3 linked regions of the Arabidopsis thaliana genome follow. The protein of the gene in region 1 purifies or fractionates together with the protein of each later gene. This does not show direct contact. Each region holds a gene or a part of one and is shown in the gene's direction. Other genes may lie near its edges. The genes, in order: ARC5, DRP3B and DRP3A.

The links.
Region 2: the proteins of ARC5 (region 1) and DRP3B purify together in Arabidopsis thaliana (affinity purification with western blotting, with the first as the bait; one study listed by BioGRID). This does not show direct contact.
Region 3: the proteins of ARC5 (region 1) and DRP3A purify together in Arabidopsis thaliana (affinity purification with western blotting, with the first as the bait; one study listed by BioGRID). This does not show direct contact.

The regions. Positions count from the first base shown.
Region 1 is NC_003074.8:6,848,091-6,858,688, reverse strand, and holds ARC5 (P-loop containing nucleoside triphosphate hydrolases superfamily protein), read left to right. Parts: upstream 1-3,098; 5' UTR 3,099-3,299; coding exon 3,300-3,662; intron 3,663-3,823; coding exon 3,824-3,991; intron 3,992-4,086; coding exon 4,087-4,209; intron 4,210-4,285; coding exon 4,286-4,507; intron 4,508-4,583; coding exon 4,584-4,717; intron 4,718-4,808; coding exon 4,809-4,901; coding exon of another isoform or gene 4,902-4,916; intron 4,917-5,015; coding exon 5,016-5,079; intron 5,080-5,466; coding exon 5,467-5,515; coding exon of another isoform or gene 5,516-5,608; intron 5,609-5,798; coding exon 5,799-5,881; intron 5,882-6,114; coding exon 6,115-6,272; intron 6,273-6,416; coding exon 6,417-6,477; intron 6,478-6,788; coding exon 6,789-6,851; intron 6,852-6,938; coding exon 6,939-7,039; intron 7,040-7,143; coding exon 7,144-7,201; intron 7,202-7,307; coding exon 7,308-7,640; intron 7,641-7,736; coding exon 7,737-7,901; intron 7,902-8,002; coding exon 8,003-8,098; 3' UTR 8,099-8,331; downstream 8,332-10,598. Other genes in the region: AT3G19740 (P-loop containing nucleoside triphosphate hydrolases superfamily protein), read left to right, coding at 78-167, 261-336, 640-736, 824-893, 986-1,162, 1,264-1,386, 1,614-1,697, 1,823-2,007 and 4 more; BCAT4 (branched-chain aminotransferase4), read left to right, coding at 9,260-9,291, 9,400-9,577, 9,948-10,124, 10,225-10,356, 10,543-10,598. UniProt on the Arabidopsis thaliana protein: Mechanochemical GTPase component of both plastid and peroxisome division machinery. Required for the last steps of plastid division specifically in mesophyll-cell, when the narrow isthmus breaks, facilitating the separation of the daughter plastids.
Region 2 is NC_003071.7:5,952,341-5,962,946, reverse strand, and holds DRP3B (dynamin related protein), read left to right. Parts: upstream 1-2,838; 5' UTR 2,839-2,931; coding exon 2,932-3,300; intron 3,301-3,390; coding exon 3,391-3,673; intron 3,674-3,769; coding exon 3,770-3,798; intron 3,799-3,892; coding exon 3,893-3,994; intron 3,995-4,290; coding exon 4,291-4,359; intron 4,360-4,454; coding exon 4,455-4,514; intron 4,515-4,906; coding exon 4,907-5,020; intron 5,021-5,387; coding exon 5,388-5,436; intron 5,437-5,538; coding exon 5,539-5,648; intron 5,649-5,957; coding exon 5,958-6,047; intron 6,048-6,279; coding exon of another isoform or gene 6,280-6,282; coding exon 6,283-6,372; intron 6,373-6,510; coding exon 6,511-6,603; intron 6,604-6,686; coding exon 6,687-6,824; intron 6,825-7,031; coding exon 7,032-7,145; intron 7,146-7,239; coding exon 7,240-7,335; coding exon of another isoform or gene 7,336-7,339; intron 7,340-7,485; coding exon 7,486-7,528; intron 7,529-7,731; coding exon 7,732-7,874; intron 7,875-7,963; coding exon 7,964-8,110; intron 8,111-8,243; and 8 more. Other genes in the region: AT2G14110 (Haloacid dehalogenase-like hydrolase (HAD) superfamily protein), read right to left, coding at 9,945-10,118, 10,221-10,337, 10,496-10,606. UniProt on the Arabidopsis thaliana protein: Involved in the control of mitochondrial and peroxisomal division and morphology.
Region 3 is NC_003075.7:16,158,329-16,168,909, forward strand, and holds DRP3A (dynamin-related protein 3A), read left to right. Parts: upstream 1-2,495; 5' UTR 2,496-2,744; coding exon 2,745-3,158; intron 3,159-3,243; coding exon 3,244-3,526; intron 3,527-3,618; coding exon 3,619-3,647; intron 3,648-3,742; coding exon 3,743-3,844; intron 3,845-4,143; coding exon 4,144-4,212; intron 4,213-4,299; coding exon 4,300-4,359; intron 4,360-4,648; coding exon 4,649-4,762; intron 4,763-5,149; coding exon 5,150-5,198; intron 5,199-5,296; coding exon 5,297-5,406; intron 5,407-5,706; coding exon 5,707-5,799; intron 5,800-5,938; coding exon 5,939-6,031; intron 6,032-6,099; coding exon 6,100-6,237; intron 6,238-6,429; coding exon 6,430-6,543; intron 6,544-6,631; coding exon 6,632-6,730; intron 6,731-6,872; coding exon 6,873-6,912; intron 6,913-7,090; coding exon 7,091-7,239; intron 7,240-7,327; coding exon 7,328-7,474; intron 7,475-7,698; coding exon 7,699-7,751; intron 7,752-7,835; coding exon 7,836-7,935; intron 7,936-8,085; and 3 more. Other genes in the region: EX1 (UvrB/UvrC domain protein (DUF3506)), read left to right, coding at 1-10, 295-369, 476-568, 674-766; AT4G33640 (costars family protein), read right to left, coding at 1,399-1,605, 1,803-2,081; AT4G33660 (cysteine-rich TM module stress tolerance protein), read right to left, coding at 9,142-9,214, 9,337-9,494. UniProt on the Arabidopsis thaliana protein: Involved in the control of mitochondrial and peroxisomal division and morphology. In association with PEX11C, PEX11D, PEX11E and FIS1B, is involved in cell cycle-associated constitutive self-replication of preexisting peroxisomes.

The DNA.
Region 1 (10,598 bases):
CTTCTTGAAAATTATTTGTTCAGCACTTCTTGCTTATCAATGTTGTACCTGTATTCTTCTTTTCTAATTTTGTGCAGGAAGAAGAGAACCTCATAGTATTCAACAAACAACTTGGAGAAGATAGAAGAATTGTGATGTCACGGAGCAATTTAAATGAGCTACTTAAGGTACATAGACATAGACTGAATTCCGTTAGAGAAATGGAGTCAATTTGCGATGTTATCATAACCATTGTAACACTTTGAGAACTTTTAACCCAGGCGCTTGAGGAAAACGAGTTATTGTGCACTGACTTGTACCAAGTGAACACCGATGGCGTGATATTGACAAAGCAAAGTGTGTAACTCCTATGAAATACCTGGTTTATTATGTATGTTATTACTCGTTATGTCTTAGCATTGTTAAGTATGTTAAAGTTGCTGATTGAGGATATCAAGCATGCCTTAACTGTATGTTATGTATCTCATTTGTTGCTAGTATTACATGAAATAGGATGCAGTTCCATGTGATTGACCTTGATATCGGTCATCTCCTATATGATTAATCATTTAATTTTAGTTCTTGCTTTCTGTGATGAAACCCCAATTACTTATATTGTGACCAAGAGAGCTCAGAAACTTGTTTATTTTGTTTCTGCAGGAGCGGAGAAAGTTATCGGTTGGGCCAGAAACCACTATTTATCTTCTTGTCCTAGCCCATCGATTAAAGAGGGCCGCCTGATTCTCCCCCGTGAAAGGTAATGGCATGGTTGTTGATTGATCTTTGGGGTCTATGATTTATCTTTGATTTTCTTATATCTTACTATTGTCTTCCTCTTTTGAAGCATTGAGATTTCAGTTAAAAGGTTAAAGGCACAAGAAGATATTTCTCGAAAGCCCACACAAAACTTGAAGGTTTAGTTTCTTCCCCCCTCTGGTAGTCTGGCAATTGGCTGCTGAAAACTCTGAGTAATAATTATGTTAAAAAGAGATTTTTGTTTTTGCAGAATATTGCGAAGGATGAGTTTGAAACCAATTTTGTCTCAGCCGTGGTTGCTCCTGGAGAAATTGGGGTAAAGTTTGACGACATTGGTGCTCTTGAACATGTGAAAAAGACACTAAATGAGTTAGTTATTCTTCCCATGAGAAGGCCAGAGCTTTTCACCCGTGGAAATCTCTTGCGGGTATTACATTCTGTTATATACATGTCATTATGTTCTTGACTATGGACTTGGAATTTTCTCGTCTGGGTTTTCTTGAATGCGTGTGTCTTTGTTTTTTCCAGCCATGTAAAGGCATATTGCTTTTTGGTCCTCCGGGTACGGGTAAAACGCTGCTTGCCAAGGCGCTTGCAACAGAAGCTGGGGCAAACTTCATTAGCATAACTGGCTCAACGCTTACCTCAAAGGTACATGGAACCTTAAAACTATGTTGTTTGCACTGTCACGTTGATATTCCACTTTGTAAACATCTTCATATAAATAAGGAGAATATCTAATGACATAAGAAAAACTTTTCCACCCCGGTCATCGACTTATTATTGTCAATGCCGATTGTAACTTAGAGTAAATCTCTTTCCAACTTTACCTCTGATTGGTTCTGATTTAAGTCAATTTCGTCCATTGTTTGGCACAGTGGTTTGGAGATGCAGAGAAGCTCACGAAGGCTTTGTTCTCTTTTGCAAGCAAACTAGCCCCCGTCATTATATTTGTTGATGAGGTGAGAAATTGTTTAGCTTTATATCACTTTTCAATTTCGGTTATTGCTTTTTATGAGGAATACTTTTGTGATGCGTAAAATGTGTTACTCAAGGACTAACTGTAATTTATTTTGTTGTCGTATAGGTTGACAGTTTGTTGGGTGCTCGTGGTGGTGCTTTTGAGCACGAGGCAACACGAAGAATGAGAAATGAGTTTATGGCAGCTTGGGATGGACTCAGATCAAAAGATAGCCAAAGGATTCTCATTCTCGGTGCCACCAACCGACCTTTTGATCTTGATGACGCTGTCATTCGTAGGCTACCAAGACGGTAATTTAAGCTTTCAAGTAATTTCTCCTTTGGAATATTTGTATCTTTTCGATAATTGTATTGAGGCTTGTGTTTATAGGATATATGTGGATTTACCAGATGCGGAAAACCGGTTGAAGATATTGAAGATATTTCTGACACCAGAAAATCTTGAAACTGGTTTCGAGTTTGATAAACTTGCAAAGGAAACCGAAGGATATTCAGGAAGCGATCTAAAGGTTTGGTCATTCGGGGTTTCATTTACAAGTTCGAGTATGATTCAACACAGTAGTTCTGATTCCTTTTCTTTTCTTACATTGCAGAATCTATGCATAGCAGCTGCATACAGACCTGTTCAAGAATTGTTACAAGAAGAAAACAAGGTAAGGACATGCATAAACCCACACAGTTGATTTCTGTTGTTACGAAAAATAATTTTTGTACTCACTCCATGCTTTTGAAACGTCGAATTATCAGGACTCGGTAACAAATGCGTCCCCTGATCTACGACCACTGAGTTTGGACGACTTCATTCAATCCAAAGCTAAGGTATTGATCAATCTCTTAAAAAACATCATCATCATCTCTATTCATGTTTTTTCCCCTGGTGTTTGCATTATCGAAATTGCGTCATTGTAATGTAATTTGCAGGTAAGTCCGTCAGTGGCATACGACGCGACGACAATGAACGAATTGAGAAAATGGAACGAGCAATACGGTGAAGGAGGGACCCGAACTAAGTCTCCTTTCGGCTTCTAAGCCACAGTTTTGTTACATTCATCAATGTCTCTCTTTAACAATAGAACTCGTTGATTTGTTCCATGTCGTAACAATAAAAGTCACTATTTCAATTTTAATCATAGTTACACAAGAGAGACCTTTAAGAAATGAAAAAATAGTAAATTAACAAGTCGTCATTTGCTCAAAATATTTCTGGTTTCTCATCCAATAATCACAATTCTGTACTACATAGTTATCACAAATCCTTTGAGATAATATTTCTGCATATACTATTGGTCAAGACAAAGCAAATCCTTTGTATTTGCCGACCAAAAAAAAAAAATCCTTAAACTCTCTCCTTACGCGCTCTTTTATTTAAATTTAGCGGAGAACTATTACAACGTTGACTCAACGCGCCATGGATGCGCGTGAGATTAAAACACAAAAAATATTTCTTTTGACAAAAATTGAAATTAGCCGTATCTGCTAATTCCATGGCGGAAAAAGGAACGGCGACGAAAACTAAAGAGTAGAAGAAATAAGAGACACTCTCTTACTCTTACTCTTCCTCTTGCTCATTTTCGTAAGAGACGATGGCGGAAGTATCAGCAAAATCGGTGACGGTTGAGGAAATGGCGGAAGAGGACGACGCTGCGATTGAGGAGCGGTGGAGTCTTTACGAAGCTTACAACGAGTTACACGCTTTGGCGCAGGAATTGGAGACGCCGTTCGAAGCACCGGCGGTTCTTGTGGTGGGACAGCAGACCGACGGTAAAAGTGCGCTTGTGGAAGCTCTTATGGGGTTTCAATTTAACCATGTCGGCGGCGGAACCAAGACTCGTCGGCCGATTACTCTCCATATGAAGTACGATCCTCAGTGTCAATTCCCGCTTTGTCATCTCGGATCTGATGATGATCCTTCCGTTTCTCTTCCCAAATCTCTCTCACAAATTCAGGTGTTTTGTTATTATTATTACTTGTGCTTCTTCAATTGCTTGTTTCTGCGTATAAATTCTGGGAAGATTTTGACGAATGTTGAGAAACACAAGTACTTAGGTTTATTGTAGAGAAGCGAAATGCTCATGTTAACGAAATTTGTTATATGATTTGGAGTTAGGCATATATTGAGGCTGAGAACATGAGGCTGGAGCAAGAGCCATGTAGCCCATTCTCTGCAAAGGAGATTATTGTGAAAGTCCAGTATAAGTATTGTCCAAACCTTACCATCATTGATACACCTGGACTTATTGCTCCTGCACCAGGACTGAAAAACCGAGCTCTTCAGGTTGTTTTTTCTTATGGCTTCCAGCCAATTCCGTGGCTGATTTCATGTTTTGGTTTTGCTTTATTTGAGAGTGGGTTACTTGTTCTTTTTCTTAGGTTCAAGCACGGGCTGTGGAAGCTCTAGTCCGAGCAAAGATGCAACACAAAGAGTTCATCATTTTATGCCTCGAAGATAGCAGTGACTGGAGCATTGCAACCACTCGAAGGATAGTGATGCAAGTACGTTGCTTGACGTAACTCCATTGCGTCTAACCTTGTCTTTATTTTTGTTAAAGTTTGTTTCTCGTTCATGTAGGTTGATCCTGAGCTTTCTAGGACAATTGTTGTTTCTACAAAGCTTGACACTAAAATCCCTCAATTCTCATGTTCATCTGACGTGGAAGTCTTTCTCTCACCTCCTGCAAGCGCACTTGACAGCTCCTTATTGGGCGATTCTCCTTTTTTCACGTCTGTGCCTTCTGGAAGAGTTGGCTATGGACAGGATTCAGTGTATAAGTCTAATGACGAGTTCAAACAGGTCTCTGCTCTGCTGTCTGATTCCTTAAACAAGTTAAACAGGTCTTTTTCTAAACTATGTGTGGTTTTTATTACAGGCTGTGTCACTTAGAGAAATGGAAGACATTGCATCTTTAGAGAAGAAGTTGGGCCGTTTACTGACAAAACAGGAAAAGAGTAGGATTGGCATCAGTAAACTGAGGTTGTTTCTGGAAGAACTACTCTGGAAAAGGTATAACTGTTGTTTTAACTCTGATTTTTCCAGCCTCTGTTTCTATTGTAGTTTACTTTTCGCTGTAGTCTTGATGCCCTTCTCTTTCCAGGTACAAAGAGAGTGTTCCATTGATCATTCCACTGTTAGGAAAGGAGTACCGCAGTACAGTCAGAAAGCTGGATACCGTGAGCAAGGAACTTAGGTCGCAATTTGTTTTGTCTGAAAATGTCTACTTGATTTTAGGCAGTTTAATTGTTAGCTACTGATTTATAGAAAATATAACTCATTGGAGGTTGAATAATTCCTTTCAATGCAGCTCTTTGGATGAAGCAAAACTCAAAGAGAGAGGCAGGACTTTCCATGATCTCTTCTTAACCAAGGTAACTGTAGAGAGCATTTCGTTTTTTTAGATTTCTATTTACACCTTCCCATACCTTTTCATTTTTGCCTGGACTCGTGGATTAATAGTTTTTGTATAATTACAACAAGTTCATTTGTGTAAACTTCTCTTTTTTTTTGGTTTATTAACTACTGACACATAAAAACAAATTTGTTTATTGATTACTGACACATATAAAATTATGCTACAGTAAATGATATCTAGGACTTGCTACAAATTCAGAATGGCTGTAAACTTTTTGTGTTGGATGCCCTTAAGACTTTAAAATTGCTGCGTCATATTTTCTGATTGACGTACGAAGTACCTTTGTTAGTATTGATCAGTGCTGTGTTTTCTCACCTGTTTTGTTTATATTTTTCTTGATCAGTTATCGCTGTTATTGAAGGGAACAGTTGTGGCCCCTCCAGATAAATTTGGTAATGTTACTGCTCTGTTCTCTGCTAGTCAACTTCTTTGGCATAAACTTTTCTTGTTTCTGGGTGTTGTTAAATTGGACTTTTGCAAAATCAGTTTAGTTAAATGCATATTGTTCAATTCGACTGGGTCACCAGACTGCGATGATTACACATGGAATGATGTATGCTAATCAATCAATCATTGGTCATGATACTTTGGTTACTGGCAGAAGCACATTTTATAACAGCATTCTCTTTATGTTGGGTTCTTTGATTGTTAATAATTTCTCATGGTGTTTTTCAGGTGAGACACTGCAAGATGAAAGGACACAAGGAGGAGCATTTGTTGGTACTGATGGTCTCCAGTTTTCACATAAGCTAATACCGGTAAGTCTTTCCCTGAAGCAGAATATTGTTGGACTTTATAGAGCAAGCTGGGCATGGTCTTCAAATCCAGTTGTCTTGTTCTTGTACATGGATTATAATATGATGGAAGATAAATTTGACCGCATGAAACATATGTGCCAAAGAATAATGTATTGGAAACAAATAAAAGAGATACTTCGTTGGACCTTCAAGAATTATGAGAGACCATAACCAGATTATCTTTCATTTTACAGAATGCAGGGATGCGTCTCTATGGGGGTGCACAATATCACCGTGCCATGGCTGAGTTTCGTTTTCTAGTTGGTGCTATCAAATGTCCCCCAATAACGAGGGAGGAAATTGTAAATGCATGTGGAGTTGAGGATATTCATGATGGAACAAACTATTCCAGGTATCATAGGATTGACTGACATGCAACACACTTCTCAATTTATTGTCTTTGCATCCCAGACCCCTTTCAGTATCTAATCTGAGCTGCAACGTTTGTCATGTTTTCTATGGCCTCTTATTCTCTTTCTCTTATTTGCTGTTGTAGAACAGCTTGTGTTATAGCAGTTGCGAAGGCTCGTGAGACGTTTGAACCTTTCCTTCATCAGGTGACATAGATATAGCTACTTTTTTCTTTTTCTTTCGTGGAGGATGGAAAGCAATTTTACTAATTAGTTAAGGTGTACTGTACGTAAAAAAAAAAATGAAATATAACGTTATATATTGAAATCATACTACCATTCAGTTTTGAGATTTGCTGGAACTTATTTGTGCATAAGAGTTATCGAGTAAACATGTTCTGCTTACAGAAACTATGTTTGGGAATACTTTCATCTGAAATTTTGTTATTCACATGTTTCTCTTTCCATACAGAAAGTTTTTTCCAGTTCTCATTTTCGTTTGTTTTGCGTTGATATAGTTAGGGGCGAGGCTTCTACACATTCTCAAGAGATTGCTTCCAATTTCTGTATATCTTCTTCAGGTAGGTACTGTTTTCTTTGGTTTGACGGTATCATACTCATGATCCCTTTCCAGCAAATTTTTTGATGTATGTTCTAAATTTGAATAGAAAGAAGGTGAATATTTAAGTGGGCATGAGGTGTTTCTCAAGCGGGTTGCTTCAGCATTCAACAGTTTTGTGGAGTCCACAGAAAAATCATGTCGTGACAAGTAATTCTATTTCCAATTCCTGTTCTTACCATGTCGGTGCCTCCTACCTGTGTTCTAGTGAGCTTTAGTGATTGATCACCCTTTGGATTTTATATTGTTTGCAGATGTATGGAGGATTTAGCAAGTACAACTCGCTATGTTACATGGTCTCTTCACAACAAGGTCATTGCTACAGCCCTATAGCTCTGTTTCAATCCAATTGAGTTGTGTACATACCATCAAGTATCCGTTTCTGATTGAGTAGTTTTCGTTTCTCAATGTTATGTAGAACCGAGCTGGTCTACGTCAATTCTTGGACTCATTTGGTGGAACAGAGCATAATACGACATCAGGTAATGCCATAGGATTTAGTCTTCCCCAAGATGCATTAGGTGGCACAACAGACACCAAGTCAAGATCAGATGTAAAGCTAAGCCATCTCGCCTCAAACATCGATTCAGGTTCCAGTATTCAGACAACAGAAATGCGGTTGGCTGATCTTCTAGATAGCACACTTTGGAACCGCAAGCTTGCTCCTTCCTCTGAGAGAATTGTGTACGCATTGGTCCAACAGATATTCCAGGGCATACGAGAGTACTTTCTCGCCTCTGCTGAGTTAAAGGTTTGCTCCTACTTCAGTTTTTACTCAGATTCTTCTTGCTTTTAAAATGACTTTTCTTTTAAAAAGTTTGTATCTGTGTTTTCTTTTGTTCTGCAGTTCAACTGTTTTCTTCTAATGCCCATCGTTGATAAGTTACCTGCTCTTCTCCGGGAAGAGTTGGAAAACGCATTTGAAGACGACCTCGATAGTATCTTCGACATCACGAATCTCCGGCAATCACTTGATCAAAAGAAACGGAGCACAGAGATCGAGCTCAGAAGGGTAAACCAAACTGACTTCTATGATCAATGTCTCTTTTTTCTATTTGCCATTGGAAGTATGCAGGAGAACTAACATTATGTTATGTGTCATGTTTTGGACAGATAAAGAGGATAAAAGAGAAATTCAGAGTGATGAATGAGAAGCTAAACTCTCATGAATTTGCTCAAAATCTAAAGGCTCCTTCGGTGCAGCATTGAGTGACTCAAGTTCAATATTGCTTAATTATATTAGGTTAAGAAACAATCGAAGAGTGAGGGAACATCTTATGTGTACTTTGTATGTCCAAAAACATACTAAAGAACGTTGTCGTTTCAAGTGATTAAGGTTTCGCTTTTTGGTCCAATGTTTGCAAATTTCAGTTTTGTAGAAACGACAGTCGTATCATTTATTTCTAAATAAATTATAATCAGTAAATCTAAAAGGAAAAAAAAATGTCGAATAAAAAATACCATCTAGAAAATTATTTTAAAAACTATATGGATGTGAAAAAGAAAAAAAAAATGTAACATGTGGATAGAGGATAGCTATTCTTGGAACTTAGAAATATGCTATTTGAATCGAAAGTATTTATTTAGTTAAATGGTTCTTTGATTATATTTCTATGTTCTTTTATTAGATTATTTACAGCTTGAAGTTTTTTTTATGTTTTTAATTTTTATCCATCACTAATACACATATGACCTACCCTCCTACCCATTAACCTCCACCTAACTACGAGCGCATTCACATTTTAAACACTCTCTTTCTTTCAACCATTTCCTCAAAAATATAATAAAGAAGTAAAAAATAAGCTTAACGTTTTCTCCACGTGACAAGAACCAAATGTTTCTCCACGTGATGATTATCTCGTGATCTAACTAGAGTTTCCGATTAATCTTAATAGTAAATTAACCGACCAATTTTTAGTCATATAACTTGAATATTAAGAAGGAAACTACAACTTATTTTTGAATAAACGTAAAACTGATCACTGAGTAAAAAAAAAATCATTTTCTTTTTACTTCTACCAAGTTATTTTTGATTAATAAATACGTACGTACACTATAATCGTAATATAAAAAAAATAAAAATAAATAAATAGATGATATATACCTACTAAAGACTAAAGAGTTAAGATACGTTGAAGTACTACAAGCTAATTTCTTTTTTAAGAAATAGAACAAAGAGATATTATTTATTTTCGTTTAAGTTTATTATTATAATAAAAAACAATTTGTTGTAAAAATAGAAAAAAAAAAAAAAAAAAAATTGTTGTAAACGTATATATAAAGAGAAGTATTCCAAAGCTTTATAGACAACTCAAGTTTCTTGCAATTACCTACTTACAACAAAGCAACTCGACTCGAACAAACACATCCATGGCTCCTTCTGCGCAACCTCTTCCTGTGAGGTAAAATATTTCTGTATCGTCGAACAAATTATATTGTTTAAATCTGATAGTATGAAATATGATTTGGCGATCTTTTTTTTGTTTTTTTTTATTTATCAAAATTTACAGTGTTTCGGATGAAAAATATGCGAATGTCAAGTGGGAAGAGTTGGCATTCAAGTTTGTTCGTACGGATTATATGTATGTTGCGAAGTGCAATCATGGAGAGAGTTTTCAAGAGGGGAAGATTCTTCCTTTTGCTGATTTGCAACTTAACCCTTGCGCTGCTGTTCTTCAGTATGGCCAGGTTTGTTATATATGACTTAAAAGAATGAATATAAATCTAGATCGTTATTAGATGAAACAGAAAAAACTATTAACACATGAATATATAGCTTTCTCACTGATAATAAAATGATTGAGCTAATTATCATAAATATAATTACATAGTATACTATTGAGTTAGCAACTATATTGTATGCATATTTGAGCTATAAACTATTGAAAAAATGAAATAGTTGTACATATATGTATTAATGTATATCAACGAACCGAATAGTATGAAAGTATTGATATTCCTATCAAATCATTGTATGTGATCTAGTTTCGCAACAATTCTTAAGTAATGGTTTGATACTAATTTACTGGAATATTTATGGTGGTTTGGGAATGATTAGGGTTTATATGAAGGACTGAAAGCTTACAGGACAGAAGATGGTCGGATTCTGCTATTCCGACCAGACCAAAACGGTCTCCGCCTTCAAGCCGGAGCTGACAGACTCTATATGCCTTATCCTTCGGTCGATCAATTCGTCTCCGCCATCAAACAAGTTGCTCTTGCCAACAAGAAATGGGTATATTATATATATTGATTGTTGTATGAATTCGTCAAGATAATAAAACCTTATAAAATGAAAGATATAATCAATGGGGTTTTCTTATATATGTACGCAGATTCCTCCTCCGGGGAAAGGAACATTGTATATTAGGCCTATCTTGTTTGGGAGTGGTCCGATTCTTGGTTCATTTCCCATTCCTGAGACCACCTTCACAGCTTTTGCCTGTCCTGTTGGACGTTATCATAAGGTGACTAGTGTTCTTGTCGTTTTTCTTTTATTGTTCACATATGAAAATATAAGGGATTCCAAGTACGTAATATAACATGCATGCATCAATTACTTGTTGAGAGTTGGTTTTAAATTAAAGGGTTATGTTGTTTAACGAAAACCATTATGTTAAATTTGATTATTTTCGGATTTTTGTTTGGAATAGGATAACTCTGGTTTGAATCTGAAAATCGAAGATCAGTTTCGTCGAGCTTTTCCTAG
Region 2 (10,606 bases), on another chromosome or scaffold:
ACTCCTTCATCTTCTTGTTTTCTTTCTTCATCTTCCTCAGATCTCTGATTATTCTTTTCCTCCATTCTAATGTCCAAAATCCTCTCAATCATCTCGACTCTCTTGTTAAGATCTTCAAGGATTGTCAAAATCCTGTCAAGCTTCTCGCTATCAGATATTTTGTTATTGATTTTGTTTTGACCTACTTCTTCAAGGGCAGCACAAACATCAACGCATCTTGTATTCCATTCAGTTTTCTTCAATCTGTAGCCCATATTAACAAGTCCCAAAATATGTTGGAATTCTATGTCGTCTGTGTGGAAATCAGGAACTAAAGACTTGAATTCTTCTGGGTTTCCAATAATTGTATTCACCTCCATCTGCGAAGATACAATAACATTACAAATCTTGAGAAAGCAGAACTTCAAATCTAAAAACCATTTAAAGAATTCTGTAAATAGACAAAAGCTTACCTCAGAAACATCATTTACAAGGTTTACGATCTTGAAAAACTCTGGAGTAGTAGTGCTTTTCCACTTCAATATCAATGGATATTCAGATTGGAATTCTTTATCTTTAACTCCATATGCTGCACCAAATGCTGGAACTGCGCTCAACACCCATATTGTTAGCGCTAGTCCAAATCCTCTCAAATCATATTTCTCTTTTGCCCAAGTTTTCTCGTCCATTCTCAGAATTGAATTTGATAGAACACTGAATGCTTCTTTACCCCACGGTTGGGCTGTGTACATCTCAAAATCAGAAGCATGCTGCAATCTTGGCAAAGGTATCTTCTCTTTTCCATATGGTGTCAAAAGAATTCCTTCAGTCAACACTACTGCAGCAAGACACAACTTTTCTTCATCTTCAACAGCAGGTTCACCTTCCTTAGGTTTTAAAAACAATCGATCTTCGAGATCACCAAGAGTATAGGATCCTTTACTAGCCCAAAAGTATGGTTCTTTTACAGGATCTTTTCCCTTTCGTCGAAGTTCCCTATGAACAGGTTCACATTGAATTCCTGTATGAACAAAAGACAGTGTAGAGACTATTATTACAGGTTTTATAGTAAATACTTTAAAAACGATTGTAAATCATGTTTAACACTTTTAAAAGCTTTTAAAAGCTTTTAAAATCCCTTATAAATCATTCAATGCCACTTACTTATGCTTTAAAAACGATTGTAAACCATGCAGACACTTTTAAAATCCCTTGTAAATCATTATATGACACTTACTTATGCTTTAAAAACGATTGTAAATCATGTTTAACCCTTCTAAAAGCTTTTAAAATTCCTTGTAAATCATTCTATTCAACTTACTTATGCTTAAAAAACGATTGCTAATCATGTTTAACCCTTAGAAAAGGTTTTAAAATCCCTTGTAAATATTCTATGCCACTTACTTATGTTTTAAAATCGATTGTAAACTATGCAAACACTTCTAAAATCCCTTGTAAATCGTTTTAAGACACTTACTTATGCTTTTAAAATCCCTTGTAAACGTGTTTAACACTTCTTTAAGCTTTTAAAATCCCTTGTAAATTATTCTATGCTAGTTACTTATGCCTAAAAACGGTTGTAAACCATGCATACCCTTTTTAAAATCCCTTGTAAATCATTATATGCTACTAACTTATGCTTCTTAAACGATTGTTAATGAAGTAAACCCCTTTTAAAAGCTTTTAAAATCCCTTGTAAATTATCTATGACACTTACTTATGTTTTAAAAACGATTGTAAACTACGCAAACAGTTATGCAAATGCCTTGTAAATCATTCTACGACAGTTAATTAAGCTTTAAAAACGATTGTAAAACTTTATTACCTGTTGTGAGATAGAACTCTCTCAAGGAGAAACGGATAGGTTGAGAATCAACTCTAAACCAAAGAGTTGATCCTTTTGTTTTCACTCTCTGCTGCATGAGATAGTGAAAGATTTTTCCAGAAAATCTGATTCCCTTCTTAGCCTTCATTTTTGGTCCCAATTCAACTAGAGGACCAAGAAACGAACTTCTAATCTTCTGAAATAAATACTCGCCTAAAGCTTCCTCTACTTTACTAACTAAATTCCAATCCGAGTATTGTTGAACGGTTCCCAGTGTAATAGATTCCTCACCTTCTCTGTAGATTTGTTCAGGCAATGCAAGGATTTCACTCTCTGAATCCATCTGCAAAACATGTTATGAAACAGCGTCAGATCTACTATAAAATCGACTATAAAATCGACTATAAAATCGATTATAAAAACGGTTACCGTCGGATCTATCGATATCTCTGGGGATTGTTTGCGTCGTAGAGAAATGATCTGAATCCTTCAGCGAAGAACATGTTTATCGGAGAGGAAATTCGTCGGCGATTTTGGGGTTTCTCAGAGAGAAAATTCGTCGGCGATTGTGAGTGAAATCGGAGAGGAAATTCGTTGGCGATTTTGAGTGAAATCGGAGAGGAAATTCGTCGGCGATTTTGAGTGAAATCGGAGAGAAAATTCGCCGGCGATTTTGAGTGAAATCGGAGAGGAAAACGAAGAAGTTTGTGCCAAAACGAAGAAGTTTGTGAAACGAACGTGAAACCTAATCATTCAGAGGGTAAGACAGTCATTTGCCATATTAAAAGGGGCAGTTTTTAAAATGGCCTTCAGGAAAGGACATTTTTACAAAAGGTTATTAGAATAAGGATAGTTTTGCAAATCTCCCATCTCCCTTAAAAAAATAGTGCAATCTACATCTCAAATAAGATGATATATTATCCTTTAAAAAATAACATAAAATTACATAATTTCTCAAAAAGAAATAACTCCGAAAATTACACAAATATTTAGAGATATTATTAACTCTGATTTACTTTAATCGGCGCGTGATCGAGAAAGATCTTCTTTAACCTCTTTGCAACAAATCTACTCAAAACCCTAACCCCTTTTTCAAATTACTTCCATCTTTAGATCGAATCAAATCAATGTCCGTCGACGATCTCCCTCCGTCGTCGGCCTCCGCCGTAACGCCACTAGGCTCCTCCGTGATTCCGATTGTGAACAAGCTCCAAGACATATTCGCTCAGCTAGGAAGTCAATCGACGATCGCTCTTCCGCAAGTAGCTGTCGTCGGAAGTCAAAGCAGTGGCAAATCCAGCGTTCTAGAAGCTCTCGTCGGCCGTGACTTTCTTCCTCGTGGCAATGATATTTGCACGCGCCGACCTCTCCGTCTCCAGCTTGTTCAGACGAAACCTAGCTCTGATGGTGGATCCGATGAAGAGTGGGGCGAGTTTCTTCACCACGATCCTGTTAGACGTATCTACGATTTCTCTGAGATTCGCCGTGAGATTGAGGTTTGTTTATTCATTCTCTTCTTCTAAGTTCGTCATAGAATCTATTGATGATGATCGTCTAATTGTATGAATATGACAATTTGTTTGTAGGCGGAGACTAATAGAGTATCAGGAGAGAACAAAGGTGTATCAGATATTCCGATTGGTTTGAAGATATTTTCACCTAATGTTTTGGATATTAGTCTTGTGGATCTTCCTGGTATCACTAAGGTTCCTGTTGGTGATCAGCCAAGTGATATCGAAGCGCGTATAAGAACGATGATCTTGACTTACATTAAGGAACCTAGTTGCTTGATACTTGCTGTTAGCCCTGCTAATACTGATTTAGCAAATTCAGATGCATTACAAATCGCAGGAAATGCTGATCCTGATGGTGAGTCTTTGGAAGCAAGTCGATTGAGAATTTATCAGTTTCATTGGTATACTACATAGTGACATTTCGTTTTGCATATGAATTTGTTGTTCTCAGGTCATAGAACCATAGGTGTAATCACAAAGGTGCTATTTCTCTCCTCATAAGTTTGCTTTAGATTTAGCTGTGATGGCAAACTACTCTATTTCTCACGATTGCTCTATTTTCTCTCTGATTCAGTTGGATATTATGGACAGAGGTACTGATGCTCGGAATCACCTTCTGGGAAAAACAATTCCTCTTCGACTTGGATACGTGGGAGTTGTAAATCGTAGTCAAGAGGTAAACCCTGTTTTTCAAAAAATTTACGCATGTTTACTTATGATGTATATTGTTCTTGTCCTACCATTATGAGCTGTGACCACTTCTACTTTTGTGCTTGTGTGTCTTATTTCTTGCTATCACAATTTGTATCTCTATGACTCTTCTTTTCCCTTTGGATACTACCTGTAATATAGACCTTTTTTTTAGTGTTACCAAACCATTCTACTCTATATTCATTTTTCGTTTGCTCTTACTATGTGGCCACTGCCCTCTACGCAAGGCAATAACTAATGTGGGTGTTAATTCCTTAACAGGATATTTTGATGAACCGTAGCATCAAGGATGCTCTTGTTGCAGAGGAAAAGTTCTTTCGTAGTCGTCCAGTAAGACTGCATCATTCTCTCGATTTGTTTTCTGATAGCGTTTCCTTGACTCTTCTGCTTATATCTTCTGTTTTGGTTTGTTTTCTAATAAACAGGTTTACAGCGGTCTCACAGATCGTTTGGGTGTCCCTCAACTGGCAAAGAAATTAAATCAGGTATTATCTGCAGTCTTGAGATCGTCTAATTTCTTTGTTATGATTATCTTGTTATGCAGTCAAGACACGAGTGTCATAAGGAATACACTTTCTGGATTTTCCGATGTGTCTCTAATTGAGACAATAAATTGGCTTTTGTATGTAACATTCATGTTTCTTATTTCATTTAGCAGGAGGAGCTAGGATCTTTGTAGGACATTAGTGTGTATATATTTGAAAAACTCAGCGACATCTTCTCACTATTGTTGTTGATTCATATGGTGGATTCTTTTTCTGTGAATGGAGTAGTCCTTTTTCTAAAGATGGCATCTCATAAGTTTCATAGCTGGTAATATTATTACTAAAATTATGAGCTGTCTGATGGGAGCTAGTTCTTTTTCCCTTCTTTGCAGGTCCTTGTTCAACACATCAAGGCACTGCTTCCTAGTTTAAAGTCACGTATCAACAATGCATTGTTTGCTACAGCAAAGGAGTATGAGAGCTATGGGGATATAACAGAGTCTAGGGTATGTGGGTTTTGGCCAGTTTTAGCCTTATATATACCATCCATTCTCAATGATGGCATTGCTATTTGCTTTTTTTGCGTTGTATGATTTCTTGCTCAGTTTTCGTATTTGAATATAATTTTATTCATTTTTGTGATCCTCTTCTTGATATTCTTGGGAGCCTTTTCTGATTACTTTCAGTTAAACAAACTATCGGTAATTTATAGAGTTAGTGTTTGAAGATGTCAAGATATGTAGGGAAATATTTCTGACAAATTTTTTCTAAATATCTAGATATGCTCTTTCATTTCCGTATAAAATATGCCTACAACATGTGACTATTTAACTTACAGCTTACTCTGGTTTATAACTGTTTCGAAATTCATAGGGTGGTCAAGGAGCTCTTCTCCTCAGTTTTATTACAAAATACTGCGAAGGTAATATCTGAAGATGGTTCTGTTTCAGTTTAGACAATGGATGTTAGTTTATACTTTTTAGGTTGGTATTGGTCCTCACCATGGCTTAATTATTTATAACAGCATACTCCTCTACCCTGGAAGGGAAAAGTAAAGAAATGTCAACATCTGAGCTCTCGGGTGGAGCAAGAATTCTCTACATTTTCCAATCAGTATTTGTTAAGAGCTTAGAGGTTTGCTACATTTATAATTTTCCTTGATCTTCACTCAGTTATAACTGCCTTTTATTTTGTTTTTCCAAGTTTTGCATTACGTTATATCTTAGTTAGGTAATACTTTCATAATTTAATTTGGGATATCATTTGTGGTCTTCAATGGAGGTTCATTGTGTTGCTATTGATATAGAACCTATACACCTATGTGTTCTTCAATGGAGGAGATTCATTTTGTTGCTATTGATATAAAACCTATACTCGTATGAATGACTTTCTATTTATAAGATATTATTTGATTCGCTAAGCATTAGGCTATATCTTAGTTAGGTAATCACTGTGTGTAGATATCTTTGTTTAGTTAGTGGGGCTATTTGCACGGAAGGCAGACAGTTCGTTTCAGGTTTTCAGTTCTTGGAAGTGTGGCATGTTTGCAGTTCTTGTATGAGTAGAACTATGCTCAGTTGTAAATATAGTCAGTGTTTATATTAGTTCATATCCGTCCATCTTTCAAGCATCTGATCTGTATTACTCAAAATCGATCTGAATATTCTCTGTTGTATAGAGATCTTTACCTACTGATGTTGTCAGTGCTACTTGATAGGGGTTTAATGATTTTAAACTCATTAGTTTCTCTCAATTTGCTCTGAAGGAGGTTGATCCATGTGAAGACTTAACAGCTGATGATATTCGGACTGCAATACAAAATGCAACTGGTCCCAGATCTGCATTATTTGTTCCAGATGTAGGTTTATCTATATCCCTAAGCATGTGGGAGCATTTTTTTGCTTATCTGTTCTTTCCACATACTTATTTTGCTTGAGTTTTTTACTTTTACAGCAACTCTGATTAGTATCTCTTGCTTTCATTCTCATCTGCATAGGTTCCATTTGAAGTTCTTGTCAGGAGGCAAATATCTCGTTTATTAGATCCCAGCCTTCAGTGCGCTAGGTTCATCTTCGATGAGCTAGTAAAGGTGTTATTTTTATTTGCGTTTCTTTATGATGCTAACTGTTGATTTACATGACCATGAATTTTAAATTGAAAAATTATGTACAGATTAGTCATCAGTGTATGATGAAAGAGTTACAGCGGTTTCCAGTCCTGCAAAAGCGCATGGATGAGGTTATTGGGAACTTTCTGCGAGAAGGTCTTGAACCTTCGCAGGCAATGATCCGAGATCTTATTGAAATGGAGGTATGTATGGATAATTTAAGATCCACACAATCATGAATCTAATGGCCAGTATTATTAAATTTACTTAGATTGCGTACTGATTTTTTTTTTTGTCACACTGGTGGAGTAGGACCATGTTCTAAGTTCAAGAAAATTGATTACTCTCAATTTTATTGATTAGTGCCTCTTTTAAATTTAGTTTAAAATATTTAAGTTTACCATTTGCAGATGGATTATATAAACACCTCACACCCAAATTTTATCGGGGGAACTAAAGCCGTGGAGCAAGCAATGCAAACAGTCAAATCTTCTAGGATTCCGCATCCTGTTGCGCGGCCAAGGGTATGGAATAGTCTCAGCGAAATTAATATTTGCTTTATGTTTCTCTTTGCGAGTTGTGAAATTTTTCGTACATGTTCCCTTTGATGACAACTAGGATACTGTGGAGCCTGAGAGGACGGCTTCTTCCGGGAGTCAAATAAAAACCCGATCTTTTCTCGGCCGACAAGCTAATGGAATCATCACTGATCAGGCATGTCATGCGTTATGTTATGTATTTGACTCTGTTACATTGATCTCCTTACTATATTTGTAGTTGGCCCTGCTTCTGAAAGCCCATGAAGCGAGTACAGATATGCAGCTAGAGACTTCTTATAATATAATTACTTAACATTTTTTACAGGCAGTTCCAACTGCAGCAGATGCTGAAAGACCTGCACCAGCTGGTAATGGTCTTATCACATTTATTTTTCAGTCTTTCATGTATGCACAGATAAATGAACGTGTGGTTTTAAGATGATTTTGGACTGAAATGATAAAATTCTTTGTCTAAGATACGACTTACATATAAGCATACATGTCTGCTCTTAATTCAATGTTCTGTTTAGAATATGAATGTAGTATTCTTGACCGATTGTGAATTAATCAGGAAGCACAAGCTGGAGTGGTTTCTCATCAATTTTTCGGGGGAGTGATGGTCAGGCAGCTGCTAAAAACAACCTATTAAACAAACCATTCAGCGAAACTACTCAAGAAGTGTATCAGAACTTGTCAACAATCTATTTAAAGGAGGTTTGAATCTTGTGCCTTCTCAGGCTTTTCATATTGCCCAATACTGTCACTTTACTTACCTATTCATCTCATAATGTTTTGTTTTGAAGCCTCCAACTATTTTGAAGTCATCTGAAACTCATTCAGAACAGGAGTCAGTTGAGATTGAGATAACAAAGCTATTATTGAAATCCTACTATGACATTGTAAGGAAGAATGTCGAGGACTTGGTCCCAAAAGCAATCATGCATTTTCTGGTTAGTGTTCCACTCTTCTAGTCTTCTGATTGTCTAGCCAAACATCTTATGGTCATTGATGACACTTAGTGTGGGTCGATTCTTTGTGAGGGGACTAATAACTCTATTCCATATAATTGTGAATAAAACACAGGTAAATTACACGAAACGTGAGCTGCACAATGTTTTCATCGAGAAGCTTTACAGGTGATGAAAGAAACCATGTGCTTCCCATTTGATTTTGTGAATAGTCTTTTTTTTTATATGAACTAAATCTGGTGGATGGGACAGGGAGAACTTAATTGAAGAACTGTTGAAAGAGCCCGATGAGTTAGCGATAAAGAGGAAACGCACGCAAGAGACTCTTCGCATTCTTCAGCAGGCTAATCGGGTAAGTTGAAGGTTTATCTTGAAGAAATTGCAATTTAACTTGTTAAAATGTGTCTTTTTGATATGGTTTAAAACAGACGTTAGACGAGCTGCCGTTAGAAGCTGAATCGGTCGAGAGAGGTTACAAAATTGGTTCAGAAGCGAAACATGAGGAGTTACCGGGCACAAGAAGATCAAGGACAGAAACTAATGGGAACGGACGGCTTCATATGTAAATTCAAATTGTGATTGCACGCATGACTCATTCATTTGGTGATGGAAAAGATTTGTTTTCTTCCCTTTAAATCGGTTGTGCGTGGGGAAAGAAAGGTGTTCTTAGGTATAGTGAAACGTGATGATAAACAGAGGTTTTGTTGTGAGGGTATTATCAACCTACTGGAAAATGTGACTTAATATTTGTTTCTCAAAACCGAGAAGAATAATCAATTCCTAATTTTACTTTTCATAGCTTTATTTGTTACGAAAAACAAGAACGTACATGAGACAATGTAATGATAAATTTATCACTGGTAAGTTGATCTTGTTCTTAATGCAAGGGTTTAAGACTCCAAGAAGAACTTCCTCTTCGATTCTCCAACAAAATCTTTCATCGAGACATCTCAAAAATGAACTTAGAGGCATCACCGTTAGAACCTAAAAACTAAAATGTCCATCACTCCAATTAACCTTGGCAAAAGAAAAGTGCCAGTTCCAATTTCTTCATCCTCAAACCAAAGGCACAAAGAAACACATCAAACCAGTACCGCAAGTCGATCTTCAAAAATAAAATCCGGTAAGCATAAAGATCGAAATCAGTCCCTTATACAAGAGAGGCTAATGAATAACAATCTCAGATCAAAAGAAAGAGGTAAAAAAAATTCAAAGCAAAGCAAACCAAAGCAAATTGAAACAAAAGAGACAAGGAAGAAGAAAAATATGGACCAAACACCATCGGAGAGAAGTGGAATCATCGGAGATAGAGCCGGACAATCTCGAAACCGAGAATACGGAAGCAGAGCCAGTCATAGGTGCTAATCGAAGCCACCTATGCCAGAAATAGAGCTGGCCAAAGGTGCTAATCGGAGCCACCTATGCCGGAAGAAAGCTAGTCATCACCGCAAAAGATACGGACAATGCTAGACACAAAGCCAACCAACCAACGATGAAAGAGCCGATGGATGTCGAAAATAAACCGGATTTCTACCGGACGGCAGAACATCAAACGGTTTCTCTCTCTCAAATATGCGAGAGAGAGAAGAGAGAGAAAAACCAATTTGAAGTGTGTTTGTTAACAAAAAAAAAATAGAAGTCAATCCAATGTTTTCTGCATTTTCTCGAGAAGAGCATGTTTTTAGTCTAGATTAATCTTTCTTGTTCAATACAAATCTTAACATATCCGAGTAAATTACTTGTAGTTAAAAATGGTGATACAACACTCGAGAATGTTTTGTGTCCACCAATGGATCATAACTCTCACAAATGAATGTTAATCTTTGTCTGTCTCCGATGATGTAGGCTTTCCAGAATACTTGTCACGCCAAACCTGTTTATTCTTCTCGATACTATTATGATTTTGAGTAAATTCAGTAAGCCCTTGTCTAAATGCTCCAAGCGTAACCCCATCACCAACAAGGATGCTTGTCACTCCCATTTTCGAAACCTGTTTAATTGATCACACATAAAAGATTCAATCTTAGTGCACAAAGTAAAGAAATTAATCCACACTATGCAATGTACGCTCAAGTAGTAGTTTGTGTTTAACTGATTTAATGTTTCGGTCTTCATCATCGAAGAAGAGCATCGCGGTAAACGGCACTCCCGTTCTTGTGTGTATCTTCTGAAAATGTTCCGTCTTATGACTCCAACTTGAGTATATTTCCTGAAACAATCCCAAAAGCATTACCCTTATGACAGATATCAATTTGGTTACCTCACAATCACTAGAAAAAAGAGTTGCTTAACACAGTGAACCACATCGAAGAGAGACATAAGGAGACAACAACAACAACAACAAAGAAGAAGATGTTTAAAACGAACCTTGGCCACAAACATGGGCTTAATGTTCAATTTATCAAGAAATGTGTTAGCAATATCTGAAGTAGGAGATCTCGAAGCAATAGCCATTTCGATACCCTTCTCTTTCAAAGC
Region 3 (10,581 bases), on another chromosome or scaffold:
TGCTGGGAAGGTTAGCTTTATGTTTGTTCTAGTATGAGGTATTAAGACAAATATGAAAACTTGTTGTTTTCATGGTCAGTGTCAAAAATTTGCGTACTCAAACGACTGTGTTACCAATCTAGTTAAAAAAAACGCTGTTACTTTTCTGCCTACACAGGAAAGGAGTATTATCATGCAATAGTCACTTGGATCTATAAATGCACACTCGCTTATTTTCGATATCTTTCTTCTTCCCTAATACTCTTTTGTTGCAATATCATGATGAGTGCCTTACCACAGTCTTATCCATGACAGGTTGCATTTCGGGCAAAGATTGGTAGACGTTATGAGCTCCCACATAAAGGACTCATCCCCGAAGAATTTGGAGTGGTGTGCTTACCTTACAACACTAATTCAAGTTTATCATTAAGCTCGGTTTTCGTTTAGAGTTGTTGTTTGTGTCGCTTCATAGTAGAGTTATTCTTACAAAATGCAGATTGCCAGATATAAAGGACAAGGTAGGCTTGCTGATCCTGGATTTCGTAATCCGAGATGGGTAGATGGCGAGCTTGTTATCCTCGATGGCAAGGTTCCTCTCTTCGTCTCTCAATATACTAAAACAAACTTGTCCATGGATTCAAACTCAAATAAATGACATGTTTTGTGTGATTGTTGAATTATGGTTTTAATGCAGTATGTAAAAGGAGGACCTGTAGTTGGATTCGTCTATTGGGCACCTGAATATCACTTTGTGATGTTCTTCAACCGCCTGAGGCTTCAAGCCTAGTTGTATTCTGCTCTACAATCGAGGAAGGGTTTTCTTCTGGCTGTAACCATTGTGTACGTATACTCCTAGATACACAGTAGATATGAAGTCGGTACTGAGAAAGGTATAACTGAAATGGTTTAATTATATGCAGATTCATGAGATCGGTTGTGCCTAAGATAAGATTACTTCAAGTTCAGGTCTTTCTGGACCAGTATAGAGATCCACGGTCTCGCTTTTTCTTCTGGAGCTTGGATAAAGGTACCTAAATTGGGGGAAGATTTAACACGCCAGAGAGTCTTTGATCAGAAAGGAAACTTAGATTGTAAAGCTTGACAAGTTTATAGATATATATATATATATATATATATATATATGTAAATTAATGTATGTTTCTCTGAGATTGCTGCTATATTGGGTAGAAACGTGGTAAGAGCTGTTGTTGTATTTCCTTTGTGTATTTTCAGTTTATATGGCAGAAAAAGAGAAGAAATCTTTCTTGTTAATAGTGACTTTGTTACTACATGCAACAACTTAAAAATATAGCTCAAGCAATGTGATCATGACAATAGAGAAGCAAAGGAATCATTGATCTTCAAGTTTATCATTTCATTACACTCAATAGTATAAAGATTAAAAGCAGAAATGGGAACTTAGGAGGAGGCTGCAGTAGCAGCAGCAGCTTGCGGTGGCGGTGGTGTTGGTCGGAGAGTGATCTCAACCTTATCGTGAACGCCTTGAAGCAAAAGTTCACCTTCAAATGCGACTATTTTGCGTTTCTTGGCAGCTCTCAGAGTCCCAACCAATGCTTCAAAGATGTTGGCACATCGATCGTCATTGAACAACACTCCAAACGTCACCTGTATTCAAAAGGAACAAATCAATCCTCATGATCAAGAATCAATCAACTGTGTTTGTTAGATCTGAGCGAGAGAAAAGAGTAAATGTTACGATCTTGATTCTTCAGATAAGAGTATTTGTTGATTGAAAATGAAATAATACAGATTTATTCCAGATATAGGGAGATCCAACAAGATTTGAGGAGAAAGAGAGAGACCTTGTAAGAGCCATCGGTCTGACGAGAACCAAGACGATGGATCTCTTCTTCCAGTTTCTGAATCTCTTCGTCTACGTTCATTCTTTCTTCTTCCTTAGAGATTTCAGGTCTCAACAGCCTAATGTTGTAAAAAGATTGGATTGAAGAAGAGACTCTTTCTGTTTCTGACGAAGACAGCTCGATGGACTCATTCTTGTCCCTCCTAATCCGGTTGAAAAGACCAAAATGCGCACACTTAACCGGTTTGAAAACCTTATCGTACCGATTTTTCTTCAACATTGAAAATTAACACACACCTCCGGTTTGAGACCTTAATAAATGATACGACATCAGCCGGTTTACCACGATTTTAACATTCGATTTTTCTCTATTTTTTTTTTCTTTTAGTTTATCCATACAAAAAATTACTGATGAAATAGCAAAAGATTGCGTTTAAGTTAACAACGAATATTTAAAGACAGAACAGAACTTCAGTTCCTCACTAAAACTGTATCTATAGATTTTTTCTAAACTTATTTGATTAATAAAAGCACAGGCTAATATTAGAAAGAAAAAAAGTTTTTATAAATTAAAAACTAATGTAATTAGGTAAATGAAAATGTTTATTCGCTTCTTTTGGACCATGGAGATTAAGGTGAAATTATTTAGTTGTTATCATTATAAATTAACAAAGGTTAAGTGAATATAAAATTAATTTGAATTATTTTGTTAAGTTGTGATTAAAGTTCAATTTCTTCTTCACGTTTTTAAAATTCTTGAGCAAGTAAAAATTATTTAGCGACTCTAATAAAAAGATCCTCCTCTCTTCGATAGAGATAGAGCTAAGCACGAAAATCCCGAGTAATTGACCTTCTCTTCTTCCCAGTGTTGTCTTCTCTTCTCCACGAACTTAATTTTTTCAAAACCCTAGCAACTTTGATTCATTCAAAATCCGATCCAACGATGACTATTGAAGAAGTTTCCGGTGAGACTCCTCCGTCTACGCCTCCTTCTTCTTCTACGCCTTCTCCGTCTTCCTCCACCACCAACGCCGCGCCGTTGGGATCCTCTGTGATTCCGATTGTAAACAAGCTACAAGACATATTCGCTCAGCTCGGAAGCCAGTCTACGATCGCGCTTCCTCAGGTTGTTGTTGTTGGAAGCCAAAGCAGTGGCAAGTCTAGCGTCCTTGAAGCACTCGTCGGCCGTGACTTTCTCCCTCGTGGTAATGATATCTGCACGCGTCGTCCTCTTGTTCTCCAGCTCCTCCAGACTAAAAGCCGCGCTAATGGCGGATCCGATGATGAGTGGGGGGAGTTTCGTCACCTTCCTGAAACTCGTTTCTATGATTTCTCTGAGATTCGTCGAGAAATTGAGGTTTTTTATTCCCTTCCTTGCTTTATTTGATACTCTATTGCTCTTCCAAGTTTGTATTAATGTATGAAATGCAACATCTTTGTAGGCTGAGACGAATAGATTAGTTGGAGAGAACAAAGGTGTAGCAGATACACAGATTCGTCTTAAAATTTCTTCACCTAATGTATTGAACATCACGCTTGTGGATCTGCCTGGTATTACCAAGGTGCCAGTTGGTGACCAGCCATCCGACATTGAAGCACGTATAAGAACGATGATCTTGTCTTACATCAAGCAAGATACTTGCTTGATATTGGCTGTTACCCCTGCTAATACCGATCTAGCAAACTCTGATGCCCTTCAAATTGCTAGCATTGTAGATCCTGATGGTAAGTTCTACTCACAAGTCCAATGACTAGTTTAATGGGTTGTATTTGACATTACTCATCTTCACCCTTTCATCTATCTATACTGTCTCCAGGTCACAGAACGATAGGTGTAATCACAAAGGTGCATATTCCCAGTCCAGACATTTGTTTTATTTCATCACCATAGGCGTCCCTGTCTTTCATGTGATTTACTATATGTTATTATCATGTTTTCAGTTGGATATTATGGACAAAGGTACTGATGCTCGAAAACTCCTTCTTGGAAATGTTGTTCCTCTTCGACTTGGATACGTGGGAGTTGTAAATCGTTGCCAGGAGGTAAACCTGTGGTTGCTCACAACTATTGCTTTTTAATTTATTTAGTGTGGCTCTTCTTTTATGTGACTTGAGCTTTATTGCTTCTGTTCTGTACTTATTTTTCTTATGATTCTCTTGCTATCATATAGTAGGCTGTCTCTTCTTTTTTTTTTTTTTTTTTATTATTCTACCTTTGGCTGTGCTTGTTTTTTAATTCTAATTTTATCACTTCGATGCTATTGTGACAGAATTTTTATTTTTTGTCTACTTTTTGTGGCGTCTGCATCTACAGTGTTTTGATCTTTATATTTTATAAACAGGATATTTTGCTAAACCGCACAGTCAAGGAAGCACTTCTCGCAGAGGAGAAGTTCTTCCGGAGTCACCCGGTATGCTAACATCATTTTGTTGATTCACTTTCTGATACTCTTGCTATTTTTTCTGATTAAAGCTGAGTCTTTTTGGTACCTATACAGGTTTACCATGGTCTTGCCGATCGTTTGGGTGTTCCTCAGCTAGCAAAGAAGTTAAATCAGGTATTTTCTGCAGTTATGGGAATTGGGAGTTCCTTTTTTCGTTATGTCAATCATTGTTCAGTAAGGCATAAGGGAGACGCTTTCTCTATGTTGAAATATCTAATATGGGATTATGGTGGAGTTTAAATGCATTATTCACTTTTTAAGGTTACTTACATGGCTGTGCGGATTCTACCCTAGCTTATTTTTTTGGCCTTGCATGTATATCTTTTTTTGTTTACAGACTTTAAGATACTTTAATATTAGAAAATGTCTGATAGAAGATGGCCTTTCTGTTGCATTTTTTTAGATCCTTGTTCAACATATCAAGGTCTTGCTTCCGGATTTGAAGTCGCGGATAAGTAATGCTTTGGTTGCTACAGCAAAAGAGCATCAGAGCTATGGTGAATTAACAGAATCAAGGGTATGTATTTTACTGCTCAATTTGCCATCTATTTATCGAATTCATTGTTTTGTTATTGGCTTTGGTACATTGCCATTTGTTCCATTTAATGGTGTGATTTGCTCAGTCTTTTCATTTGAATACAATTTTGCTCGTCCAGACTATTTTCTCATGTATGTGCTCAGGGTTCGTAAAGCCTTTTTGTTTTTAGACTACAAAAAAAATATCTTTAAGTCGTAGAATTAGCATTTAAAGGTGTTCTTATTTGTAGGGAAAGGTTGTTGGCCAATGGGTACTTCTTTTTTAACTTTTTTTTGCTTCATCTCTATGAGTTGTTTTTCTTTTTCAATTTTTAACTAGTCAAACTTATCTTATTCTATTGGTCTTTACTGTCCTTGAAATTCTTAGGCTGGGCAAGGAGCTCTTCTCCTCAACTTTCTCTCCAAATACTGTGAAGGTAATATGTGAAGACGATATTTCAGTTGAGACCATTGACATTTGTTTTATGTTTTCTATGGTTCATAGTGAGTCTCATGGGTAAATTTTTTTGAACAGCATACTCTTCATTGCTGGAAGGGAAAAGTGAAGAAATGTCTACGTCAGAGCTCTCTGGAGGAGCAAGAATTCACTATATTTTCCAGTCAATCTTTGTTAAGAGTTTGGAGGTTCGTTTGGGCAATCGTTAAACTTTTTTCCTTGAGCTTGAACAGTTGTTATACATTCCCGTTTCTTAACCTCGCCAATACTTTTGCGTACTTTCGGATGGTACACTGATGTTTACGGTTCATTTCATTGACATTGATAGAGAACTTTTACACTGCTTTGTTAAGCATTGGCTCCTCTATCTTATCTTAGTTTAGCTAGTGACATTATCCAAATGGAAATAATGTAGTATATTTCTGACGTTGAGCTCGTGGATCTCTGTAAATTTAGACTGATTGAATTCCTTCACATTGCCTCTTCAGGAGGTTGATCCATGCGAGGACTTGACAGATGATGATATTCGGACTGCAATTCAGAATGCAACTGGTCCAAGATCTGCATTATTTGTTCCAGATGTAGGTTTCTTAACATGTTTCAGCATATATGGAAGTTATCCTGGTTGTCAGGGCTTTCAAGCATTCATATGTTTCCTTGCCTTTTCCACTTCCCAGGATATCTAATTAGAGTCCCTTGATCTCGTTCAATTATGCATAGGTTCCATTTGAAGTTCTTGTTAGGAGGCAGATATCTCGTTTGTTAGATCCTAGCCTTCAGTGTGCCCGGTTCATTTTTGAAGAGCTAATAAAGGTGAGTGTTTTTTTGGTTTGTTGTTAATAAGTAATAAGATTACTTCATAAATTTGAATTTCTCTACAGATTAGCCATAGATGTATGATGAATGAGTTACAACGATTTCCAGTCCTACGAAAGCGCATGGATGAGGTTATCGGGGATTTCCTGCGAGAAGGTCTTGAACCCTCAGAAGCAATGATCGGGGATATCATTGATATGGAGGTCTGTATAATGAATTGAAAATCCTACGTTGAGTTGAGTTTCTCTATTGTGTATAAAGAGCCCAGACTAATATGTTGGTTGATTAGGGACCTTTTTTAATCTTGAGCAGTGATTTCCTCGTTTTTGATTGATTAGTTTCTTTGAACTAAAGTATTAGTGATGGTATCATAATTTCTTGAATGTCGTTTGCAGATGGATTACATAAACACTTCACATCCAAATTTTATTGGTGGAACCAAGGCCGTGGAAGCTGCAATGCATCAAGTGAAGTCTTCGAGGATTCCCCATCCTGTGGCACGACCAAAGGTATGAAGTACTCTGAGCAAATACATTAAAATTGGTTTTGGTTTCATATATACTCTGCAGTGTTTCTTATACATTTAAGTTGATATAGCAGGACACTGTGGAGCCTGATAGAACATCTTCTTCCACGAGTCAAGTGAAATCTAGATCGTTTCTCGGCAGGCAAGCTAATGGAATTGTTACTGATCAGGTATTGTCATTTTACATGTTATATATAATTAATTCTGTATATCATTGTGCACTATGGGTTTAGCCCTAAGGACCCATGAGCAAATTAGACATTTTCAAGATAAAGAGTGACTATTTGACACTTAACTCATGATTGTTCATAGGGAGTTGTATCTGCAGATGCTGAAAAAGCTCAACCTGCTGGTAATTTTCTCACCGCTGTCATTTTTAGCCTTCCATTTCGTGTTTTGGAAGATTTTTGGCTGTGTGATGAATCTCTTGCTATGTTTCAGAGACTGCGTAAACATGTATCTTGTCTCGATTCGCTAATAGCTTATAATCCTGAGTAGATTTTAATTGTGGTTTTGCTGACACATGATAGCAAATGCGAGTGATACAAGGTGGGGTATCCCTTCAATTTTCCGAGGGGGTGATACTAGAGCAGTTACTAAAGATAGCTTATTAAACAAACCATTCAGTGAAGCTGTTGAGGATATGTCTCACAACTTATCCATGATCTATCTAAAGGAGGTGTGTCTCCTGTGCCATCTTAGATGATTCATATTGCCAATACATGCTTACCTATTTGACTCATACTGTTTGCTTTGCTTTTCTGAAGCCCCCAGCTGTCTTGAGGCCAACCGAAACCCATTCAGAACAGGAAGCAGTTGAGATTCAGATAACAAAGCTGTTACTAAGATCATACTATGACATTGTAAGGAAGAATATTGAGGACTCGGTACCAAAAGCAATCATGCATTTCCTGGCAAGTACCCTCATCCCTTTCCCCAAGTTTCTTGCAGTATCTCAAACTTGTACGATATATCATCACCTTGATATTTGATTGCCCTTTGAAATTGTCTTTTGAGAGAGTTAAAATGAAAAGCCGTTTGTCCATCTTGTGTGTAATAATCTTGTTGCTATCTTACAGTAAATAAACTCTGAAGAATGAAGATGCTGATACCATTTCTTTTCTTTTTAATGCTTCAGGTAAACCACACAAAACGTGAGCTGCATAACGTCTTCATCAAGAAGCTTTACAGGTGATGCCTGTGTTTTTTAATTCCTCACATCTGTGTTTGGATTAGTAGTCTCTTAAAACTGACTAGTAGTTTCATCTGGTGCAGGGAGAACTTGTTTGAAGAAATGTTGCAAGAGCCAGATGAGATAGCAGTTAAGAGGAAACGCACACAAGAGACTCTCCACGTTCTTCAGCAAGCTTACAGGGTATGTTCTCAGCAAAACCTAACTCTGTACATCAATCGTCATAAACCTTGTTCCGTTGAACAATAAAGTCTTCTTTTCACTTAAAACTGTTTCTATGAAGAATTTATGTTTGATATTCATGTAACCATGTGGTCTTTGTGGGTGAAACAGACACTAGATGAGTTGCCACTGGAAGCAGATTCGGTGTCAGCAGGAATGTCAAAACATCAGGAGTTACTGACATCTTCAAAGTATTCGACAAGCAGCTCATACTCGGCATCTCCAAGTACGACAAGAAGATCGAGAAGAGCAGGAGATCAACACCAAAATGGATACGGATTCTAACATGATCCAAATATCTCGAATATCTCTCGACTGTGATAACGCATTTCATTCATTTAATGGCTCTTTCAGGTTTTGGTATTAAATTATGTGTTGGTCATATGAAGAATTTATATAGGAAACCAGTACACAGTGTGGGTTTTGGTCCTTTTGGACTCTGCATTGGTTGACTTGATAAGGGAGTGAAAGGTGATATAGTTTTTTTTTCCAATTTGTTTCAAATGCTCCCCCTGCAACAATAACGGGAAGCAAACACCTTTCACTCTAAATTTTTTTTTGGGGAATGTTTAATCAATAAGTTATATTACATGATCGGTCCACACGACCTTATAAATTGTGTAGTTTCTTCGTTTTTTGAGCAACGAGACGTGGAACATTCCCCTATACGAGTCACAGATTATGCTGGAAATTGACGATATGGTTAAGAGTTAGTTATGGACAGCGGTATTCACAAATTCCAAACCCACCTCAGTACTTTCTGTATAGATGCGGACCAAAATCCGATTTGTTGTCTAGTCCCTATCACTGGCTAAGAGCCAAGACACGATAATGTTTACTCTTCGGTTAAGAAGTGGACACGTCATTCTCCATTTTTTCCGTATTCGGATAAAATGCATATCTACCTACTGCCACGTATCTGTATCCAACATTTCTATCACACGCATTTTCATTTTCAGCATAATCTATAACTACTAATCAGAAATCAGAATAAATTCTCTTATTACTTGATGAGCTGCAGAAATTTGTGATACATATATAAAAGGCAAGACTAAAACCTAATTAAAGCGACAAGAAAAGAAAGTAGTAGTCACATGATATCACAACAATTATTGTATAAACCTCATAAGCATAATGAAATTAACAGACATACTTTTTCCTGAAAACTTAATCAAAGCATATAATGGTCGGGTCACAGCAACATTCATCCACCAAGCAGCAACAACACAGAGCTGCTAATCTGCAAACCAAAAACACACATTACCACCGACAAACATTGAAGTTCATTTATAAATTCCAACAGATCACTCCTTAATAATAGAAACAAACTAATATTATGAAACATAAAAACAGAGCACTTACAGTCCTTCAAGAAAACCAACTTTTCGTGGTGGTGGTGGAGGAGGAGGCGGTGGCGGTGGTGGAGGATAATACTGTGGCGGTACTCCCACCGGCGGTGGCGGACCTTGCGGGTAATTTCCCGGTGCCGGGTAAGGATATGCATACTTGGGATCGCTCATATTTTGGGGAGAAGTATACAAGAAAAAAAAAACTCAAAACTAAAGTTTTTGAATAGAAATGTTGTCAAAGCTTTGGAAGCAGGGGAAATAATTGTTGAGAGAGATAGAACACGGATTTGCAATCTTTAGAGCGCAAGTGTTGTCCTAGTCGACGTGTATTTATATTTGCCAAAGAACACAGCTTCAAGATAATTCTTAGATTAAAATTAAAAAAAAAAATTCTCTGTTTCAGTAAGAATTTTATGGAGTTTTGAGAATAATCTTCAAAGTACATTGGAAACGCAAAACACTTAAAAAGTGTTGACAAAAGTATAGGAATCTGCTTCGGTAGAAGATTCGAGAGAGGAGAGGAAGCATCGGTGGTTTTGGAGTTCCTTATTCTTCTCTTCTTTCCAAAGTTTTGTCATTCGCCAAGATTCCTTAAAAACTTGTTCACACATCATAATTATGCACCAATAGGTTATAAATCATAATCCAACAAGTTAGTCATTGGCTTTAATTTTAAAAAATCCCATAAGAGTAAAATCTTTTAGAAAGTTAATCAACCCACACATGGGCTAGAAAACCAAAAACCCCACGAACATTGAGATTACAAGAAACATTTTTAAGTCCTAAATGAGCCCAAGAGCATTGCTTAATGAAGAAGAACTGATATTAATTAACTAATATTAGGACACATAAAAAAATACGAAAACACCAATCTTCATGCCACAAAATCAAACAAAAACGAAAAAATCAATTTTCATGAAATGGATAAAGAGAGAGCGTAATTATCAGGAATTTGATTGAGTACGGTTGTTATGATGATCATTCACAATTATCTTTGATCTTGAGATTTAGCAATAGTTAATTTTCGGATGTTTTTTTGTTACTTGCTGCTCACTTCTTGTATGCAGATTAATTTATAAGAGAGACCAGTTACAACTCTTTCTTATTTGAATAAGATTTTATAAGATGTAGTGTGGCCATGTGGGTTTATTGCATGCAGCTCTCTGCGTTGGTCCCAAGTCCACGACAATAGAGAGTTTCTGCACTTCACGGTATCGTCGTCGTCACAAGTTCTTTACCTTATCATTGGCACAAGTTA